Coturnix japonica: one gene and its partners. The main gene of each other region encodes a partner of the protein of the gene in region 4 in a complex. Links are inferred from orthologs where the notes say so. Each region holds a gene or a part of one and is shown on either strand. Other genes may lie near its edges. The genes, in order: CNOT10, CNOT2, CNOT8, CNOT11 and CNOT7.

Region 1 (3,515 bases), on a different chromosome or scaffold from region 4:
TCAGCTACTCAGAAGCTTTGGAGCCCTGTTGACTGAGAGCACTGTTAGTTTAACTAAGCTTTAATCTGAAACAAAAGTTGAGCATGTGATTGTATAACATACATTTCAAATTAACTGTAATGAGTTATTAAAAAGCATCACTCAAAAGAACTTGTGCAAGTGAGATCTGTTAAAACAAGAGAAACTTCTTACATGTAACTAACCTATGCATCACTTAAGAGGAACAACTCAGTGCTCCAGCCTGCACAGAGGCTTTGCTTCTTGGCACCAAGATACAGGGCTCTGTCTTTGCAAACAACTCTTGACTTGAATTTCTTGCATTAAAAGAACACTGCCTTCATTGAACTACACATTACCTTATAAACTCCTCTGAAGTCCAGCTTTAATCCTCGCTAAAGGATGAGCTTCTACCATAGTTTGAAGGGAGACATAGAAATTAATTGACACAGAACCTTCTAGAGTATGCTGCCTCCAGCAGTTAAAATTGGCACGAGTTAGATTGCTCTCCACACGTACGTTGCCAGTTTTGCCAAATACAATTACTACCATCATAATAATATCGTTACTACAGACACAAGAAGCTTCAGCTCACGGCTCTCCAACAGAAAAGAGAAAGGAACAATGACATCAAACTTACTTCAGAGACCCGGACAGCTTTGGTTGCTGAAGGAGCTTATCTGCATGGTTCAGTGCCATAAGGTTATCGCCCAGAGCCAGAGCCACGTAAGCACTGCAGGCAAGTATTGAGCACCTGGAGGAGAAAAGGGAAAAGGGAAAAGGGGGAAAACAATGTGTTAATATTCTGTGATTTCAAATGCAGCTGTGAAATTTCTTCCTTAATAGATGTGCAGCAAATCCAGATGAAGACTACTTACACAGAGTACAAAAAGAACTGGAAGCAGGAGCAAAGAGCATGCTGCTCATCACTACATTCTTAGTAATTCTGGAGATTTACTTTCACACAGCAACAGTTCAGACTTCATTTACACGTAATAAAAGCAATAAAAAACTATTTGCCTCATATATGAAGATGTCAAATGAATGCTCATATATAAATGTATACCTACATATTCATTTTAAAAACCATACAACACCACTACATTAAATATTTATCTCTCAGTTGAAGTTATTGTACATTCAAGGGCAAATATTTGTAATTACCGAAGTCCTATATGTACCTAGAAAAACTAAGAACAATATAATCTCTAGATAATAGCTAATAATAACAGATAATTCTCTGTAATTTAGCAGCAAAAAAACACAAAAAAGATTTTGTTAGATTTAGTACGTTTTATTCTAAAAGTAGTACCTGAAGGAACAAATTATTCACTAGCACAAAATACAAAGACCTCAGCTTATTAAAATGAAAGACAGTTTTTAAGTGCTGAAGAAATAAATCCTCAGCCTTCAATATCATCCTCACAGCAAAGAGGGAAGTCAAGGAGCTGGTGTTCATCTATGGCCTCAATCGTGTTCTCTCAATCAGGAGATGCACACATTGTGTTTTACCACAGCCTCCTTTCAGGCAGCTGTAGAGAGCCATCAGGTCTCCCCTGAGCCTCCTCTTCTCCAGACTGAACAGCCCCAGCTCCCTCAGCCGCTCCCCATAAGACTTGTGCTCCAGACCCCTCACAGCTTCACTACACTTCTCAGAACACTGTTCTCCATAACAGAGGGACCTCACCAAAGCACTGTTTGTCTCAGGAACTTTCCCACCCTCATTTTATTTGTTAAACCTTGAATCTTCACTTGCACTTCTCTGCCCTCCCTCCTCCTTCAGAAAAGGAGAGCAGTTTTCTGTAGCACACAATGCTATAAATCACCTGGAACTACAGACATATTGTAGCTGTCAATTAAATTGTAACATATTTCGTTCTTGTATTTTACAACGTCTGTACACAGCGAGACAATAAAACAGCAGAGGATCCTGCACTGTCAGTTCCGTGTTACACAGAGCTGTAATCCTCCTCTGCCAGGAGTCTGATTTCAGATGTGGCATTCTACGGCTGCAACAGGCTTCCCTGTTTTTAAAGCACACAAAACACAACAGTCTGTGTGACAAAAATGACTTCCATTCTCCACCTTCACACAACAGTCCCACATCGGGATGCCTCCGTTCTGCCAAGCTTCCTGTTGTACTGGCTGGCCCCGCTCCTCAGGCTCTGCCACAGCACCGCTTGGTGGGGTCAGCCCATCCTGGGGCATGGGCCTCTCTCTGCTGGGCCCCCATTTTGCTCCCAGTCCTCCTGCCCCGCTCCCAACCCAGGGCAGCCGGCCTTGCTGCCTGGAGGAGGCTGCTACCCACTGCCCTTCTGGCAACTGTCAAGCCCACTTTGAGTCCCGCAGTAAGTCATGTAATTCGTGGCAGGGCCTGGGGTGCCTTTATTCCCCGTTCCCAGGAGGCATGCTCCTTAATTATGCACAAGCAGGGGGAGAAACTTCTCCAGTGTTTCTCCCTACCCCCCACTTCCTCTTAGCGTGCCCAGATGTCACATCAAATCTGAACACATACAAAAGCTTTCAAGAAAGAGAGGAAAGCTTCCCCAACTCAAGTCCCAAACCTAAAATATTTCTGAAAGGTTGTGACTGTGGGGAAGGGGGGGGGAAATCCCAAAATAATGGCCTGCCTCTAAGCAGACTCTTTCTTCTCTGCCCCAAGGAAGCAAGACTTTTAAACAAGCAGAGATGCTGTCCCACCAGCCAAACACCTTGCACTGCTGCTCCTGCCCTTTCAGTCAATACAGGTCTTCTACCCACCAGAACTTTAAAACCATTTTTAATTTTGAAAGTCTATATGCGAACAAAAGGCACGCTCCAGCCATACAACAATAAGCCCATCAAGTTGGAAACCTATCCCTCTGTTCTAAGGACTCGTTCCCATCTAATCCCTTTAAGACCTCTTCAGCAAAAGCCATCTAAAGAAGAGGAAAACATTGAACATTCCTTCCAATGCCGTCCTCGCGCACTTGGACTCATTGTTGAAGCAGCCAAAGCGAACGGAACACTCAGGAGACCTGACAGCTAATCAGAGCAGAAGAATTGCACCACAAGGGAAAAGACAAACTAGTTTTTCACCCCAGTCAGGATTCTGACAAAACTCTGCAGGTCGTCTTTAAGCTCTGGAGACTTCCAGCATTACTGAGCCCCTGCATTCCCGAAATAAAACCGCCTTTGCACTAGGAAAAAGAAAAATGTTTTTTTAAACCGCCAGATTATGTCAAACAACCTCTTGTGTAGGTCTAAGCAACAAGATTTGTCAGCCCACACTTGCTGCAAGTTTACAGAACCTGAATGATACATTTGGCTGAGCTCATTTCGCAGGGCAGAGGCAAAGTAGAGATCACCCAGTCCTTCACCACTTACCAGGAAGGCATAAAAATGGCACCTCAAAACCAGTTAGAAACATCACTAATCTGAAATAACTTTAAATAGCTAATTAGGCCCAGTGGTGGATATATACCACCTGGCTTTTTTTGTTTCGATGCAGACAACACAAACCAAAACATGAAGTACAG
Region 2 (3,515 bases), about 88 Mb from region 4:
GAACACTTTCACAGGTAGCTGCACTACAGTGCGCTTCCAATTACCCAGGTCAAGACGCTATGCAGAACTTTGTGGAAATGTTACTTGTATTAGGGTACACCCTCTTCAACCCTTGTTCCCTTCTTGACAACGACTTAATAGTTGCTACTAAGCATCTGAATCCTACACAGCTATCCCAACAAAACTAACTTCCAGCTGAGCCACAGAGCCTACACAGCCAAAATGGTGTCAGCCTCACTCGAGGTTACTAATCTTAGTGTAACAGCGAAAGTCTGTGCTAGAGAGCCTGCAGGAAGATTTCAGTAGCAATATCTGCTGATGATGGAAATAACTAAAACATTCTTTCTACTGAAAGCCTGGACAGTCATTGCCCAAGGAGAGGAGCTTCCTGCAACTCCACCACATCATGCATGCCCTAGCGACCTTCTGCCCTAAGGTGAAGAACAGAGGATTCCAACTGCATCACTTAAATGCAATAATAACAGGGGTTTCCACAGTGTCTCCTTTATGACATGAATAAAATGCTACTAATTTAACATTTTTCAAGGAGGTATTGGTTGTGGATGCCCCATCCCTGGAGGCATTCAAGGCCAGGCTGAATTTGGCTCTGGGCAGCTTTGTCTGGTGGTTGGCAACCCTGCATATAGTAGGGGGGTTGAAACTTGATTATTATTGTGGTCCTTTTCAACTCAGGCCATTCTGTGATTCCATGAAAAGCATCTGTCTTAAGAAAATATGGGACTGTATAGGCAATACATAATCATTATTTAAGAATAAGTGTTAACCTATCTATGCAGAAAAGAAGTACAAAACTAGGAGTTATTAGGTTTACTTCAAATAAAGATATAGGCAGAACTCTAAAATTGTGTTTTTAAAAGCACATTTATTGTGTGTTTAAATGGGATAAGCGACTTTAATATCAGAAGCACCTCAAAAGGCAGAAAAAGAAATCTGCTTCCCAAGTGCAAAATGTTTTTTTGTTGTTTTTTTTTTTTTCTAATGGCAATTTGTAAATCAAGCAAAGGATGCTTAACATAAGGCAAGACATTAAGGGTGGCACAGGCTTTATGCTAAACTGCTCTGTAGTATAAAATAAAACCAACTTTATGACACAGAATAGATTAAATACTAAACCTATCCCCTCCATCCAACACATAAATATCTAGTATACAGTAATTATGTGTTAAAAGTTTTTAAAAATCCTGCTCTTTAACATACATCTGCTGAAAAAAAGCAGCAGTATGTCACATGTATATATTGTTTATGTATGCATGCACAGTATTAACCTGGACGTTACACTCGGGAGCTGTATAGTACAGCTATAGGTCATCCCAAAGCAGAAAATCATGGAATGGTTGGAAGGGGCTTTAAGATCACCTAGCTCCAAATTCCCTATAGACTATTCAATAGGTGGGTAAAGGTTAAGTTTTATTTTAGGCATCAAAACTAACGCATAATGTTGTATAAAACATCAAATAATGAAATTACCAGAAGTATTATCCTACTACGTCTGCATGCCAGCTGTTTAACTAAATGATGTAACCAGATTTCACCTGTGTTGAGGAACAGTAACAGAGGAAGCTCAAGAATTAAGATTCAGATGTTCATAACATAATTTAGAGTACAAGGGCATTCTATTTTCAAGCTGATTATCCTCCAATTACTTTTGAGCAATTTGTACTGAGAAAAGTAAATAACTTTAGTATCAGGCAGATATCCCAGTGAATGCTAAAAAATCTAAAACTACTGAGAAAAAGCAGCAAACTGTGATAGGTTTAACTGTTCTTTATGTATTCTCAGCATGCTGAGGGAGAAGGAGATGGGAGTGAAGAACTGCTAGATTCAATAAGGAAGGGAGCTGTGTGCCTAACACAAGCAAAGAAAATACTGTGCTCAAGTAACACATTCAGCAAATAACTACACGCAATTGTACCAGAAGGATGAGTCTGGGGGGTGGTTTTGAAATATTTCTAAAAGCATTGATGATGCGACAACCTGACTATGTTTTGATGCAAACATTAGAGAAATATTTTCTAGAAATGATTATTTCTATAAAGTTATGCCTCGAGAAATAAATACGTACATTAATACCAATCATTTCAAGATGCAAAAATCAAGAGCTACTTTTTCCTGCCATTTCCCTCTCACCTTGATACTCCCATTCAGAAATCTTCTCTGCACTCACACATTCAGAGTGCAGCTCTGTATAAAATTTATGACAAACAGCAAGTCAGCATATATACTGTTTGGTCTTTGTTTGGCTAATGTTTTGTATGAACGATTTTAAATGCATGCACAAAACTGCCAGTAAGGTTAATATTACATAAATCTCTTCTGATAAAAAGCATCAGAACTCTTTATCTCATTTTTTCCCCACATACAAAGTGCCACAGAAGTAAGGCAAGTGACTGAGGTCAACCTCTGTGTTTTTCTTTGCTGAAAGATGAAGAGTCATTTACATAACATAAGGCAAAAATTCAGGACATGGTAAGATTGTATCAAAGGATAAGGACAACGCATGCTTCCTATCAACTGTATTTTACAGATTAAAATAAACTACAGGCCTGTTGTTCCCCCTCAGTGCCTCCCTCAATGAGAAGGGTATAAAATTCTTCATGATTGAAGAGTCACGATGGGACATTCCTAGCTGCCGAAGTACCAGAAATTGAACTTATCTCAGACAGCTGTAGTCATGAAGATAGGCATTTCTCCCCAAACTGGGGAAAAATCTAGATTCCTTCTGTAACAAGTACAGAAAAAGATGCTTTCTGGGCTGGTGATTCACCTTACTATTCTTAAGAACTTCTCTTACCATTGAGAACTTGTTATTTACTCTTCCATCCACTGCCACTAAAGGAAGCCTAGATGACTAAACTGAGGTGAAACGAATGGACGTTAACTCGAACACTGTATTTTCAACTTTGTTGCAGAGTAAACTCTGTAAATGCACTAGTACCTATCCCCCAGATTTCTGTGATATCTATACGTAATTACCTTCAAGGAATACTATTATTAGAAAAATAATGCGTATTTGAGGCCTACTAACAACACACTGTCAATTCCTTAAATAATGTCCTAAGAAGGTAGGAGAATAAGCAAAGCCACGAGACTTACTGAAAGCTTGCAAAACAAATCTCAGTATCCCTTGAAGCACAATTACCTTGTTTATGAAAGTTTTGTTTTACTGTCATTATGTTTTCAAATTTTATTTGGCAAAATGTCTTGTGGGTTTGATGCTTATGTCAACTAAGTTAATCTATTATTACCAACGACAGCATAATAAGAACCAAACTGAAGACAGTACTAAAAGACAGAAACTTACTCAGGAGAGTTGAGATTGAGACCTAGTGTTGTTAAATCACTTCCTAATGCAAGATGTACCATTCCTGGATCTGTCTCTGCTGCCCTGATGAATGTTAACAAGCCAATCATTCCAAACTGGTCCGTCACCATCCCTTGAGGAATGTTGGTAACCCGACCTGGGCAAGAAGAACAAATTAGTTTTGTTCTTTCAA
Region 3 (3,987 bases), on a different chromosome or scaffold from region 4:
GCTGGTATCAGTGTTACATTCGTCTCATTAGGGTGTTTTTCTATACTTACAACCTTCTTTTCCATAGAGGAAGATAACAGCAAAACACGCACAAAATACAGATCACAGAAGGTGCTGAGATAAAATGAAGTACCAGTACTTAAAGTTCGCCTTTACAATTTAAAACTTATATTAAGAACTGCACAGCTGCTAAAATCCATCTCCTTAAGGTCTGTTAGTCTCTATGGTCCAAAGCAGCACTATTTAAGCCAAAAAGAGGCATCTTGTTCTGTAGTACCAGTAATCACCTCAGACCTACCTGTGAAACGACAGCCATTTCACGCTGTCACTAAGGACGACCCCTGAAGTCATGAGCAACTCAGCAAAATGCAGGGTATCAATCCCTTCTTCTTCATGCTTCTGGAACTGCAGCCCAGAGCTTGCAAGGAGGTCTATGGAATCCTGAGAGTACATATCCTCCCTGAAGGAGAAAAGCAGAGCTTTGCAGTCAGGGTGCTAACAAGGAAGGCTCATTGCCAAAAGATTTCTCACAAGTTGCATTTTGGAAAATCAGAGTGACCTGCAGGCAATCCATCTCTGAGCTCCATGGCTGTGTCTCTAGGAAGCTCAAATCACTTTTAATACCATTACTCCTATGCATTTAACAAGCTATTCTGCAATCTTAACCAAATATTAATTCTGTCGCTATTGCCAAACCTGAAGAATGCCATAAAACCTTCACACAACAGACATCTTGAAAAGTAACACTGAGGGAACAGAAGTGCCACAGATGATGGGAGAGAAGTCAACAAAACTCATATCAAACACGATAACTTTGAGTCACAGTGTCAATAAAACTCAAACCAAACATGATAACTTTGAGTCAAATAGCGTTCAGTGTCAAAACCTCTTTGTTATGACTCCAATGCTTTTAGGAGGCTGACAGTTGTGCAAGTAAACACTGCCACTTCTGTTTGCAAGAACTGCATGATCAGCTTATAGTAAGTATATAGTAAGTATACATGCATTTAATTGATTACATAAAATATATGGAAATGTATAAAAAGCACGTAAAGTTTGAGATCATAACATCATTCCAGAAATACTGCAATGCCTGTCATGCCGGCATTGAGCCTCACATAATCTCTTCTGGTGTTGCTCCCTAATGCAGAAGACTCACGTGAGGTTGAATTTGAAGTTAAACTGCCAGGTGTTGATCCCAGAAGGATACTCTCCTTTCTCGTTTGTGAAAGTCAGGCCCAGTTGGATGATTTTCAGAAGGTCCACATTACAGCGAAGAAGCTGATACTGATAGTCTATGGAACTGCGGAATTCCCCAATCGGCCTTACAACAACCCCAGGAAACTCCGTGTCCTAGAAAAGGAAGAGGAAACCTTATGGCTGCAAATCAAGGCAGACCCTAACGACAAAGCAAGCAATTTGTGCTCTCAAGTCAAATGACATCAATTGACTCAGAACACACAAAAACTTTCATAGAGGATCCAGCACATGAGAGAATTTTTGCCTTCACATCTTCCTGTACCCACTGCCTCAGCACAGCAATTACAACAGGCCAGAATGAGATGATATTGAAGCAAGGCAGCTCGTTTCCAATCAACATACAATATGAAATATGTAGATACACATTTACTGTTTACTTACACAACTTTGTTCTGCGCTGAATTCTATGCGCTCTGAAGGCACGTGTATTTTTACATCATGCTTTCATTACAAATTTCTCTCCTATCTTTGAGTTTAGCATCCCCACTCAAAGCTGTCATAACCACCACAGAATCATCGACTCTGGAAAAGATCTCTGGGTCCAACTATCGTTAGCCCCTATTCCTTGAATAAGACAAATGAGTCAAGCATTTACCATTGCGATGTAGCTGTAACTCAGCACAATCTCTCGGATTTTCCTCATCTCCTCCTCCAGGTTGTTGGCCCACACCTCACAGATCACCTGGCTGTTCTCCGCCAGGGCTGCTGGCATCCTGCCGGGCACAGGGCACAGCCAGCTCCCCCCAATCCTTCAGATGGCCGCGTTACAACCGAAAGCTGCGAGATCTAATCAGTGTGCTGCAAGAAACAGACAGAACGGAGCTATGAGTGAAAAAAGAGCTAGAAAAAAGGAACGAGCTGCACAATACAGCACAATACAGCACAGTACGGCACAGCACAGCACAGTACGGCACAGTACGGCACAATACGGCACAACACGGCACAATATGGCACAGTACGGCACAATATGGCACAGTACGGCACAATATGGCACAGTACGGCACAATATGGCACAGTACGGCACAATATGGCACAGTACGGCACAATATAGCACAATACGGCACAATATAGCACAATATAGCACAGTACGGCACAATATGGCACAGTACAGCACAACACGGCACAATACGGCACAGTACGGCACAATATGGCACAGTACGGCACAATACGGCACATCATCACCACCATCGGCCTCCCCGAGGCAGCCGCCAACAAACAACGGCCCAGCGCCGCCCCAGGCCCGGTTGAGGCCTACACGACCCGCGCCGCCTCAGGGCAGGGGCCCACCCGGACACGGCCGCCACCGCCGCCCTCCACCGCACCGCGAGAGGCCCCGCACCTACCGGGACCTACCGGGACCCGCTGGGACCCTCCGTGCCTCCCTTTCCCGTCCCGTCCCGCCCCGCTCTCCCGCTGCTCCGCTCCCCATCTCCTTCCCCTCCCCCAGGCGCTACCTGCCCTACCCGGAAGTTGTGGCCGTGCCTCTCTCTCTCTCTTCAGCGCATGCGCGATGACGCCTCAGGCTGAGGTGGGATTTCCGGGTTTGGAGCTTTGTTCTCGCGAGATTTCCGGTACAGCCTCAGCGGCGCGCGGTGCGGTGTGTGGTGGCGCGCGCTTGGTGCGCGCTCCCGCGGAGGGGGAACGGGGAAAGCTGCGCATGCGCAGTGCTGGTGTCCTTGTGTGTCCGGCCGTGACGTGGCGCTGCGCTGTGACCCGGTGTATAAAGCAAAGCAAGGCATCCTTTAATCTTAAAGGCTGTAAATCCCTCAGATAGAAGCTATATCTGAACTGAACGGGGGTTAAAATGAACGCTGACATTGCACAGTTCACTCTTATCGCCTGCTTTAGCATATTAGATGAATTATGTCACCAGAGCGAGCCTAAATAACATGCAAATAACCCAAATAACTGGGCAACCTGTATATGGGGTAAGTGGTGCAGATTGGGGCCATATCTGCATCAAGTTACACCTCGCAGTGCTGTAATTACAGGCGTTGTGGTCTATAAGTGCATTGAAACACCACTGAGCACAACCACATCGGAACCTGTTTGCATCTCATCCCATAGACAGGACCTATAGACGGAGCTTTGATGCAGGGACAGCTGGTGCAGGTTATATATGTAGTGAGATGTGCTGCTGGCTTTACAGACTGCCCCGTAACTCACACGCATTGCACAAATGCGCCTTTGAGCCATTCGGTTGCATTGGCATCAGCTGCTTTGTGCTGAAAACACTAGTTAGTTTCTGGTAGAAATGACTTATCGTTAAGGTATAGCTGCCTTTTTTATTCACATATACAGCCATTCAACCCTGATGACAAACTCCTACCTACAGAGATGTATTCTGAGCACTGGGCTGAGTGGCAACAGGGAGCAGTGCCAGCACTAACAGTGACACGGTGCTGGCTTCACATGACTTGTCTGGGAGGGGACAGCCAACTCCTGCTTGGAAACACCCCGCTGTTAAACCCTCATAAAGTCTCCCCAGCAGTAGTGAAAGGTGAGGAGTTGTACTGTGTACAAAGGACCTCTACTGGGCTACAGCCAGCAGGAGGTGAGCAAAGAGACGGAGCTCAAAGGTATCGTGGCTTAAAAATACCCGATTGAAACCTTAGAAATAACTAAAGGGCAATGTCCTGTGTATGTTTAAAATACAACTGTAAGCTTTTCCAGGAGCTGTAATTGCCTTCTGAGCTATGCAGGGCTTGGCACAATAGGGGAGCCACC
Region 4 (4,140 bases):
TAAGCTGCTTTTGCATAGGAGTTTAATTGATACAGGATTCTACAGTTACAGCTATAAAGTCCTGTAAGAGCATCCCTCTAAAGCCCAAATTACAGAGCATAAACAAGGTACATAGAAGTAATACTAAATTTAGCATATGAAGCTGAAGACGTGAAAGAGTGGTAAAATAAACTATTACAACCAATCAATATTTGCACTGTCAAATTTTAGGTGTTCTTCTGTCACAGTCTCTCGCTCTTCCATACCTGAAGGCTTAAGGGCTGACCTTCCATATTCTCTGTATTAGTGAGAACCATGTTTTCTATTACCTTGGTAAAAGCAAACCAACAAAAGCCCAACAACATGCAGGAAAGCCAAGAGCCTGCCATACAATGCCATCTTATGTTCCTTCCCTCCCCCTCCCAAGGAGGATATTAAGTAGCAGATAAAGTCTCAAGTAATCTGAAGGCCAAATTTGCTGGTCCCACACGAAATCAACACCATTTCTTATCCGGATGATTAATTAAGTGTAGTGCCCTCAGCTTCAGTACCCCATCCTTATCTCTTTTAACAAAGCACACTTTTTTGTGCAGCCATATAACCCTTTGCAGCTCCTCATCCGTATGAAACTCTATTTCAGATCCATGAGAGACGCTTACAGCAAAACTCCTGTAGGTAACAAAAGGACACAGACACAAAGCTCTGCCTACTGCTAGTTTATACTAGAAATGTCCATCTTCCAATTATGTCAGCCCATGCAAAACACTGGAATATATGCTCAAACTTTATACGCTGTTGGAAATTCCAGCTTGTGAGTTCTACCATTCAGCTCCTACAGGGATCAGCTGAGTCAACGTAAGAAGTTCTCTGAGAAGAAAACAAGGTGACATACTGGGTGTCCTTCATTGTCATCCGTAGTCTAAAACTTACACCTATATAGGTATAAAGTCATGGATTGGTTGTATACCCTCAAATCCCCTCATCTCAAATGACTAATGATGCTTAATTAGAACAAAAGTTTAAGATACATTCTTACATGTTCCCGAACATCTCCAGGGATGGTGACCCCACCACATCCCTGGGCAGCCCAGTGTAAGCAGAAGGAAGGGGTGAGCGCTGTTAGCTAGAACACGGTTGTATTTCAGAAGAGAACACAGCAACTTGAACCAGTATGTTCAAATTGAAGAAAACAATTCCTACGAATGCAATCACTTATGTTTTATCAGGCTCTCTTGATCTGGAGAATCAAGACGCTCTATTCCAGCAACTGACATTCAATAGAAGAGCCTACAAGAAAAGTTACCACAGTGAATCATAGAATCATAGAAAGGCCTGGGTTGCAAAGGACCACAGTGATCATCTGGTTTCAACCCCCTGCTATGTGCAGGGTCACCAACCACCAGACCAGGCTGCCCAGAGCCACATCCAGCCTGGCCTTCAATGCCTGCAGGGATGGGGCATCCACAGCCTCCTTGGGCAACCTGTTACAGTACGTCACCAACTGAACTGAAGTTTAGAAGCCAAGTACTGTATTGTGCAGAATAGAGTACCTAGGAAATAAACTGCTCGAGTTGGCAACTCATTCTAAGCAATATTTTCCATTTCAGATCAGCTCTAGATGCAACTTGTTGCTCCACACGATCAGAACAATCCTATTCCTGCCCAAGAATAAGCACTGAGTTCCTTATAGCCTAGTAAAGGCAGAACATTTAGTGTGAGCTAACACTGCAAAACCTGACCACAGTCCAACTTTTGCCACACAGACAGAAGCACCTCAAAGTCAAACAGCAATTAACATTTCACAGAATCACAGAATGACCCGGGTTGGAAGGGACCTCAAGGATCATGTAGTTCCAACCCCCCTGCCTGGCAGGGCCACCAAACATACACATTTACTAGATCAGGTTGCCCAGGGCCCCGTCCAACCTGGTCTTGAACACCTCCAAGGACGGGGCATCCACAACCTCCCTGGGCAGCCTGTTCCAGGGCCTAACCACTCTCCTATCACAGCACAGCCACATCTCCTCCTTACCCGCCAATGCCAGCTGTAGCCCGCTTATATCCACCGACTGGGCCATGTTGCCAACGTCCATGGCAGCGATCTGGCGCGGGGTCTTCTTGAACAGCTCCCTGGGGGGGGCCAGCATCAGCTGCGAGAGGAAGAACTTCTCGGGCGGGGTTATGGGCGGCAAGAAGCCTGCGGGGAGAGAGGGGAGCGGTAAGATTCCTGAGGCCATCACTACCCCGCGTGCTCCTTAAGCGTGGAGAGATCATCTCGTACAGTAACGTTACGGCAAAACGAGTGACCCTTCCCGCTGTCACAGCCCCGGCCGTTCCCGGCACCTGAGAGCGGGGTGCGCTCCGCCTCGTCGCCGCCGCGTTCGGGAGCGGGGTTGAGCAGGTGGGCGAAGACAGCGGCGAAGGGGTTTGCGGCGAGGGGCTCGGTGCGGTACATCTCCCATAGCAGGTACAGGGCGGTGAGGCGCTGCGCGGGGCTGGGCAGCAGGTCGGGCTGCTGCAGCAGCAGCACCAGCACGGAGCCCAGGCGGAAATGCTCGGCCTTGCCGAAGTAGTGGTGGAAGGCGCTGGAGAGGCCCTCGAAGGTGCTGCCGCCCGCCTCCTCCGACACGATGCCCAGCAGGCTCGTCAGCTCCTTCGGCGACAGGCTCATCCTGCCGCCCGCCGCTCCACCGCCGCCACCCGCTCCTCCCGCCTCACCGCCCGCCTCGGCCGGGCTGCCCCCGCCCCCGGGCATCCGCCTCACGGCGCACGGCCCCGCCGCTGCACAACACCGGAAGGCCGAGCGTTGAGGCGCCGGACGCGCTTTACGGCACGGCAGGGGATGGGCCGGGACATTGGGCCGGGACTGGCGGGGCGGGGCGGGGACGGAGCGCGACGGGCGTTGGGGCCAGTAGGGGGAGCGCAGCGCGTTCCACGCACACCGCCCTGTGGTGCTGTCATCTGATAGGACTAGGGGTAATGGGATGAAAGTACAGCATAGGAAGTTCGAACTTCTTTACAGTGAGGGTGATGGAGCACTGGAACAGGCTGCCCAGGGAGGTGGTGGAGTCTCCTTCTCTGGAGATATTCAAGACCCGCCTGGACGCCTACCTGTGTGACGTGGTGTAGGGAGCCTGCTTTGGCAGGGGGGTTGGACTCCATGACCTCTAGTGGTCCCTTCCAACCCCTACAATTCTGAGATTCTGTGACCTGAAACTGAGCAGCGGATTTTGTGCTTCTGGTGTGTGCAAGTTGTCTGGGTGCTCATCCACTCTCAAGTAGATCTGTGGTGCTTCTGCTCAGGTAGCAACAGAAATAGGCAGCAGGAGGGAGGTGAAAGAAAAAGGTGGCAAAGAAGTGATATTAAATTGACCTGCTTCACAGCAAGTGTTTGAGTTTCTTCTAGCGAAGAAGCTGAATCCTTCAGCTAGGAAATAACTTCCACTGGTGTATTTTTATCCCACATTTCACATGGGAAGAACACGATGGGAAGGAATTAAGTCACACCTTGAAGTCAAAGGGGAAATCAGAACACATCCAGATTGTTTTGTTTATTCTCACAAGGCTTTTCTCTTGTACACAGATTCCTTCCCTTAGTAATTTAAGTGACCCTGCCCATCTACAGTGTATTTTTAATAGCAACAAATCTAAAAGGGTTGGGGAAGTTAGGTTTCGTGTGAGCCTCTCCATATGCAGCTTTCTAGTGACCATTGCATGTTATCTTTCCTAGTTCAGCTCTTCAGTTCAAAACCTACCATGAGACAACAGAAACAGATTTATTACTCCTGGAGTAATCAACAATATTGGCGTGCTAACAATGCCTAAAAGCCTTCCTGAGCTTCACTTGTTCATCAGACCTCAAAGATGTCAAGCGATTCTTGGATGTATTTTGTAAAAACACCCCAGATACGATTTTACAATGGCTTCATATGTGCTGTTCCATGGTCATTCAGAAACAAACATGGTTGGTGATAAATTCTTGAGCTTCTGTGAACTGTAGTGACACTTGGGTATTTTAAGGCAGTTTTCAAGTGTCAGCCCATGTCAAGTCATTATTATTATTTTCCCCAGGGAGGTGGTTGAATCGCCATCCCTGGTTGTGTTTAAGAGCCATTTGGATGTGGTGCTCAGGGATATGAGTTAGCAGAGGGTTGTTAGAGT
Region 5 (3,546 bases), on a different chromosome or scaffold from region 4:
GCCTCTATCAGCTATTAAAGCTGAAAACAAATGTATTGATTTCAGGGGTTCTTCATTCTGCGCATATACATAATTTTTAGTCAAACCTAAATACTAAAAGGCAGAATTTGATACCACTGTAAGAATGCATTGTGTCCTTCTGTCAGACAGTGCCCATCTTCTTGTTAAAGCCAAAGACAAACAAAGTTAAAAATAAGATAACACTCCCTTACCTAATGCATAATGATACCAACAGAAATCACCAGTGGAGTTTGGTCGCTTCAGAACTAAGCTGTAGTTACCACTCTAGCCATGCAGGTCAGTGGGAGTCAGTGCAAACAGAAGTCAGCTCTGGATGAGGCATCAATCAGCAAGCAGCAAACTGCATCACTTCCCAAACAGAGGAAGAGAATCATCATGTCCAAACAAAAGAGCAGTACAGTATTACTGTCTGTATCACACACTGTCTGTAACACATACATTCCAGGAGGAAAAATACAACTTCAACAAAACCACCAGTCTCTTGTTATGTAAGAAAACATTTTTTAGGCCTTTATTTACAAAAGCTTTAAAAACAAATACCCTCTGTTATGCAAATTATTTGTTGTTTAAAAAGGACCACCCAGTTACATCGTTGTAACCCAATGAAAAAGGTATTTGGTGCCATCTGTTATTCGTCTTTGCAGTACAAGGTAAACAGAAGAATTGGCGAACATCTGGAGTTTTTCTATGATTGATTTCCGAGTGGAACACGCACACCGCTACGCGCGCACGCACACCCAGGCACACAATGTCGCACTTTCCATCATTTCAGGCTCGGATTTAGCTATTCAATACCAAAAATGCCTCCTGCACAACTGCTCTGTACACATGGTAAGCAGAGATAAGAACGTATTTTAGGGTCCTTTAAAACAATATATCTAAAATATATTGCTACGATATACTCAAAAATAAACTAGCATTACAATCCTCAAGTAACTTTATTTGTTCTAAGTTATTTATATTTTGTTGTTTTACAACAAATATCTGTAACATCTGTCTTTGTAGCAACTACAAAAAAGCACAATTTAGTTGTCCTAATTCAGTTAAATAGGGTTGTTTTGTGTTTTTTTTCAGATCTTTGGGTTTTATCTTGAACTGAACTGACTTCCAAAAGTTGTCAAATCACCTACATAATAAATACGACTTCATAAAAAAATATTTGTTGTATATGTGTCACTAGAATAAAAGTTAATCAAGGGAAGTGCGCCATTACAAAATTCCTACTATTCCAATAGCCTTCAAATCTCAGCTTAATGGCAAAGGTGGTAAAGTCACAGCTGTTCTTTTCCTGAAGGGTTTAAAGCTGTCTTCTCAAGCTTCTTTCCCTCCTCACAGAGCGGATCTAAAGCAGCCAGCCAACCAGCAGTTGGCATGTGCAGGACGTGTTTGATGGCAGAACACTAGTAAAACAACAGCAGTTACTATGGTTTCAGTAGTTTGTTTTGCTTGAACGAATGCAGGTTATACAGCAAATGTCATGTTCTATGGGTTGAAATACCAAAAGATGCCAAAAATACAGTGTGAAGCTGCTGAACTTGGAGGATTATTGTTTCCTAGCTAAGGGCAGAAGGGAAAAAAAAAACTTCAAATGAAACAGAGGATTGAGTCAGAGTTGCTCTCTAAAGTGCAAATTTGATGGTCCACAATCTTGAATAGCTAAAACGCCTGCATACTGGAAGGAACAGACATGAACGGGGAAGTTAGTTACAATCAGCATGAGTTAATTTGGAGAAGGGAGGGGAAAGAGACAAAAAACCTAAGACCAAAGACCGATATAGGCAAGTTTACCATACTATTCATAATGATTTAGCTTTCCCCTTCTCTCTGCCACACTGATCCTACACAAGCTTCTTTACAAATGGGCTAGTTATGACTCCAAAAGTAACCCATAAAATTCTACATATCAATATCAAGATCAAAATCTGTGATAGGAACAGTCAGGTTTAATACATAGAAAGGCAGAAAAGAAAGTGTGCTGAGAAAGGGAGAAAAAAAGCCTTATTGTCCAAGGGGTTCAACCAGAGATAAAACGTATGTACAAGCATGTGGAGCTCAAAAAGACGGCCTTTCATTTCGTGTCATGACTGCTTGTTGGCTTCTTCTTCATAAGCATTTCCCGTGCCATTTTGTACATAAGATGACCCCGAACCAAGGCCATACAAGTGGCCACAATATTTGGCATCGTCAATGTGATCTTCAAAGAACATCTGAAGTGTTAAAAAGAAAAAGACACAAATTAATGCCACCAAAAACACCCAGTTTAAACAGAATGACAGAAAGGCTAAAAGACATTACACTGTTGGTTTTAGCACTGCATATCACATCCCAAGATTCAAATGACAGAATTAGCATAACAATGCATTTAATCTCAACACATGATCAAAATGTGCTATACAGTGCAATTGTTTAAAGGAAGGAATACAAACAGTCACCTGTGCACCTCACCTGCCAAAACGACCATGTTTTGGCAGTTTGGTATTACCTCCGTTATTACTTGCTTTTCTGAAAGCACAACAAAATATTTTCTCTGGCATATTTCTTTCTGCTTTCTCACAGCAGATGTATGTTTGGTATTCATTGCAAGTGCCCACAGTTTACCTGCTTATTGTTGTGGGGGTTCCATCACACCTTGTCTTAAAACAGATTTATACTACGTGGGTGTGAGGTGAGAATGAGGAGGTACGTGCTCAAGCACAGAAACTACTGAGTTCGGCAAATGTATCTTCCTGCATTTCTCAGCTACATCCTCTAAGAGGGCTTCATTTAACAATGAGCAGCAACATTAAAGGAAACTGCTTTTTTTTTTTTTTAACCAAGACTACATTTACATAAGACTTTAAAAGTCTTAATTATCAATAGAACCTTTCAGGTTCTGTACTGCAGGAATAATAAGCAGAGAGGAAAACCTCTAAACCACAGCTTGCTGTTCCAGCATCAATATTAACACATCTCTGATGGGAAGAAAAAGATCCAAATTTTTTGGCTGGGACTCGAACCAGCAAGTTGAAGTTCCAAAAGCAATTATTAACACTTATCAGCACTATTTTGTACGTTTAAAAACATTGTGAAACAACGTTTTTCACTCCAGCGTACATTGCTAAACATTGAACTCAACTGAAAAGGCTTTAGAAGTGCACTCTAAGTATATTTGCTGCTCTTGACTAGGATGTTCTTACTTCAAAATGTTGTATTTTAAAAGAAACCCTGAAAAAACAATCAATCTTTGTTGGCTTATTTAAACAAATGATTTGTACTAAAAGCTACATTTCTTTTCTCTGAGACAACAAACTCTTTAATAATAACATGCAATTTGTTACATGGCGATCATGGGTTTTGAAAGTCAGCACCTTGCACCTTAGGTATAATCAAATACCTTCCTTTATTTGCTTTAGATTTTGGTTCAAATACAAAAGATTGCAGTTAACAGCACCTGTGAAGATCACAGGTGGACCACATCATAAGCAACATCCTCTACGTAACCCATGACCAGCTCAACAACATCAACAGTTTCAGGAGAGGAGAACA

The links.
Region 1: CNOT11 (region 4) and CNOT10 share a complex: the UniProt entries of both Homo sapiens proteins name them as parts of the CCR4-NOT complex. The link is inferred for Coturnix japonica from reciprocal best matches to the Homo sapiens genes CNOT11 and CNOT10.
Region 2: CNOT11 (region 4) and CNOT2 share a complex: the UniProt entries of both Homo sapiens proteins name them as parts of the CCR4-NOT complex. The link is inferred for Coturnix japonica from reciprocal best matches to the Homo sapiens genes CNOT11 and CNOT2.
Region 3: CNOT11 (region 4) and CNOT8 share a complex: the UniProt entries of both Homo sapiens proteins name them as parts of the CCR4-NOT complex. The link is inferred for Coturnix japonica from reciprocal best matches to the Homo sapiens genes CNOT11 and CNOT8.
Region 5: CNOT11 (region 4) and CNOT7 share a complex: the UniProt entries of both Homo sapiens proteins name them as parts of the CCR4-NOT complex. The link is inferred for Coturnix japonica from reciprocal best matches to the Homo sapiens genes CNOT11 and CNOT7.

What each region holds. Positions count from the first base shown.
Region 1 is NC_029517.1:37,337,526-37,341,040, reverse strand, and holds part of CNOT10 (CCR4-NOT transcription complex subunit 10), read right to left. Parts: intron 752-3,515; coding exon 638-751; intron 1-637. UniProt on the Homo sapiens protein: Component of the CCR4-NOT complex which is one of the major cellular mRNA deadenylases and is linked to various cellular processes including bulk mRNA degradation, miRNA-mediated repression, translational repression during translational initiation and general transcription regulation.
Region 2 is NC_029516.1:32,460,859-32,464,373, reverse strand, and holds part of CNOT2 (CCR4-NOT transcription complex subunit 2), read right to left. Parts: intron 3,480-3,515; coding exon 3,323-3,479; intron 1-3,322. UniProt on the Homo sapiens protein: Component of the CCR4-NOT complex which is one of the major cellular mRNA deadenylases and is linked to various cellular processes including bulk mRNA degradation, miRNA-mediated repression, translational repression during translational initiation and general transcription regulation.
Region 3 is NC_029528.1:5,997,972-6,001,958, reverse strand, and holds the start of CNOT8 (CCR4-NOT transcription complex subunit 8), read right to left. Parts: upstream 2,816-3,987; 5' UTR 2,724-2,815; exon of another isoform or gene 2,435-2,723; intron 2,059-2,434; 5' UTR 1,973-2,058; coding exon 1,856-1,972; intron 1,354-1,855; coding exon 1,160-1,353; intron 461-1,159; coding exon 299-460; intron 1-298. Other genes in the region: FAXDC2 (fatty acid hydroxylase domain-containing protein 2), read left to right, coding at 3,598-3,839, 3,925-3,987. UniProt on the Homo sapiens protein: Has 3'-5' poly(A) exoribonuclease activity for synthetic poly(A) RNA substrate. Its function seems to be partially redundant with that of CNOT7.
Region 4 is NC_029516.1:120,253,662-120,257,801, reverse strand, and holds the start of CNOT11 (CCR4-NOT transcription complex subunit 11), read right to left. Parts: upstream 2,807-4,140; 5' UTR 2,735-2,806; coding exon 2,323-2,734; intron 2,177-2,322; coding exon 2,012-2,176; intron 1-2,011. UniProt on the Homo sapiens protein: Component of the CCR4-NOT complex which is one of the major cellular mRNA deadenylases and is linked to various cellular processes including bulk mRNA degradation, miRNA-mediated repression, translational repression during translational initiation and general transcription regulation.
Region 5 is NC_029519.1:56,951,571-56,955,116, reverse strand, and holds the end of CNOT7 (CCR4-NOT transcription complex subunit 7), read right to left. Parts: intron 2,229-3,546; coding exon 2,100-2,228; 3' UTR 503-2,099; downstream 1-502. UniProt on the Homo sapiens protein: Has 3'-5' poly(A) exoribonuclease activity for synthetic poly(A) RNA substrate. Its function seems to be partially redundant with that of CNOT8.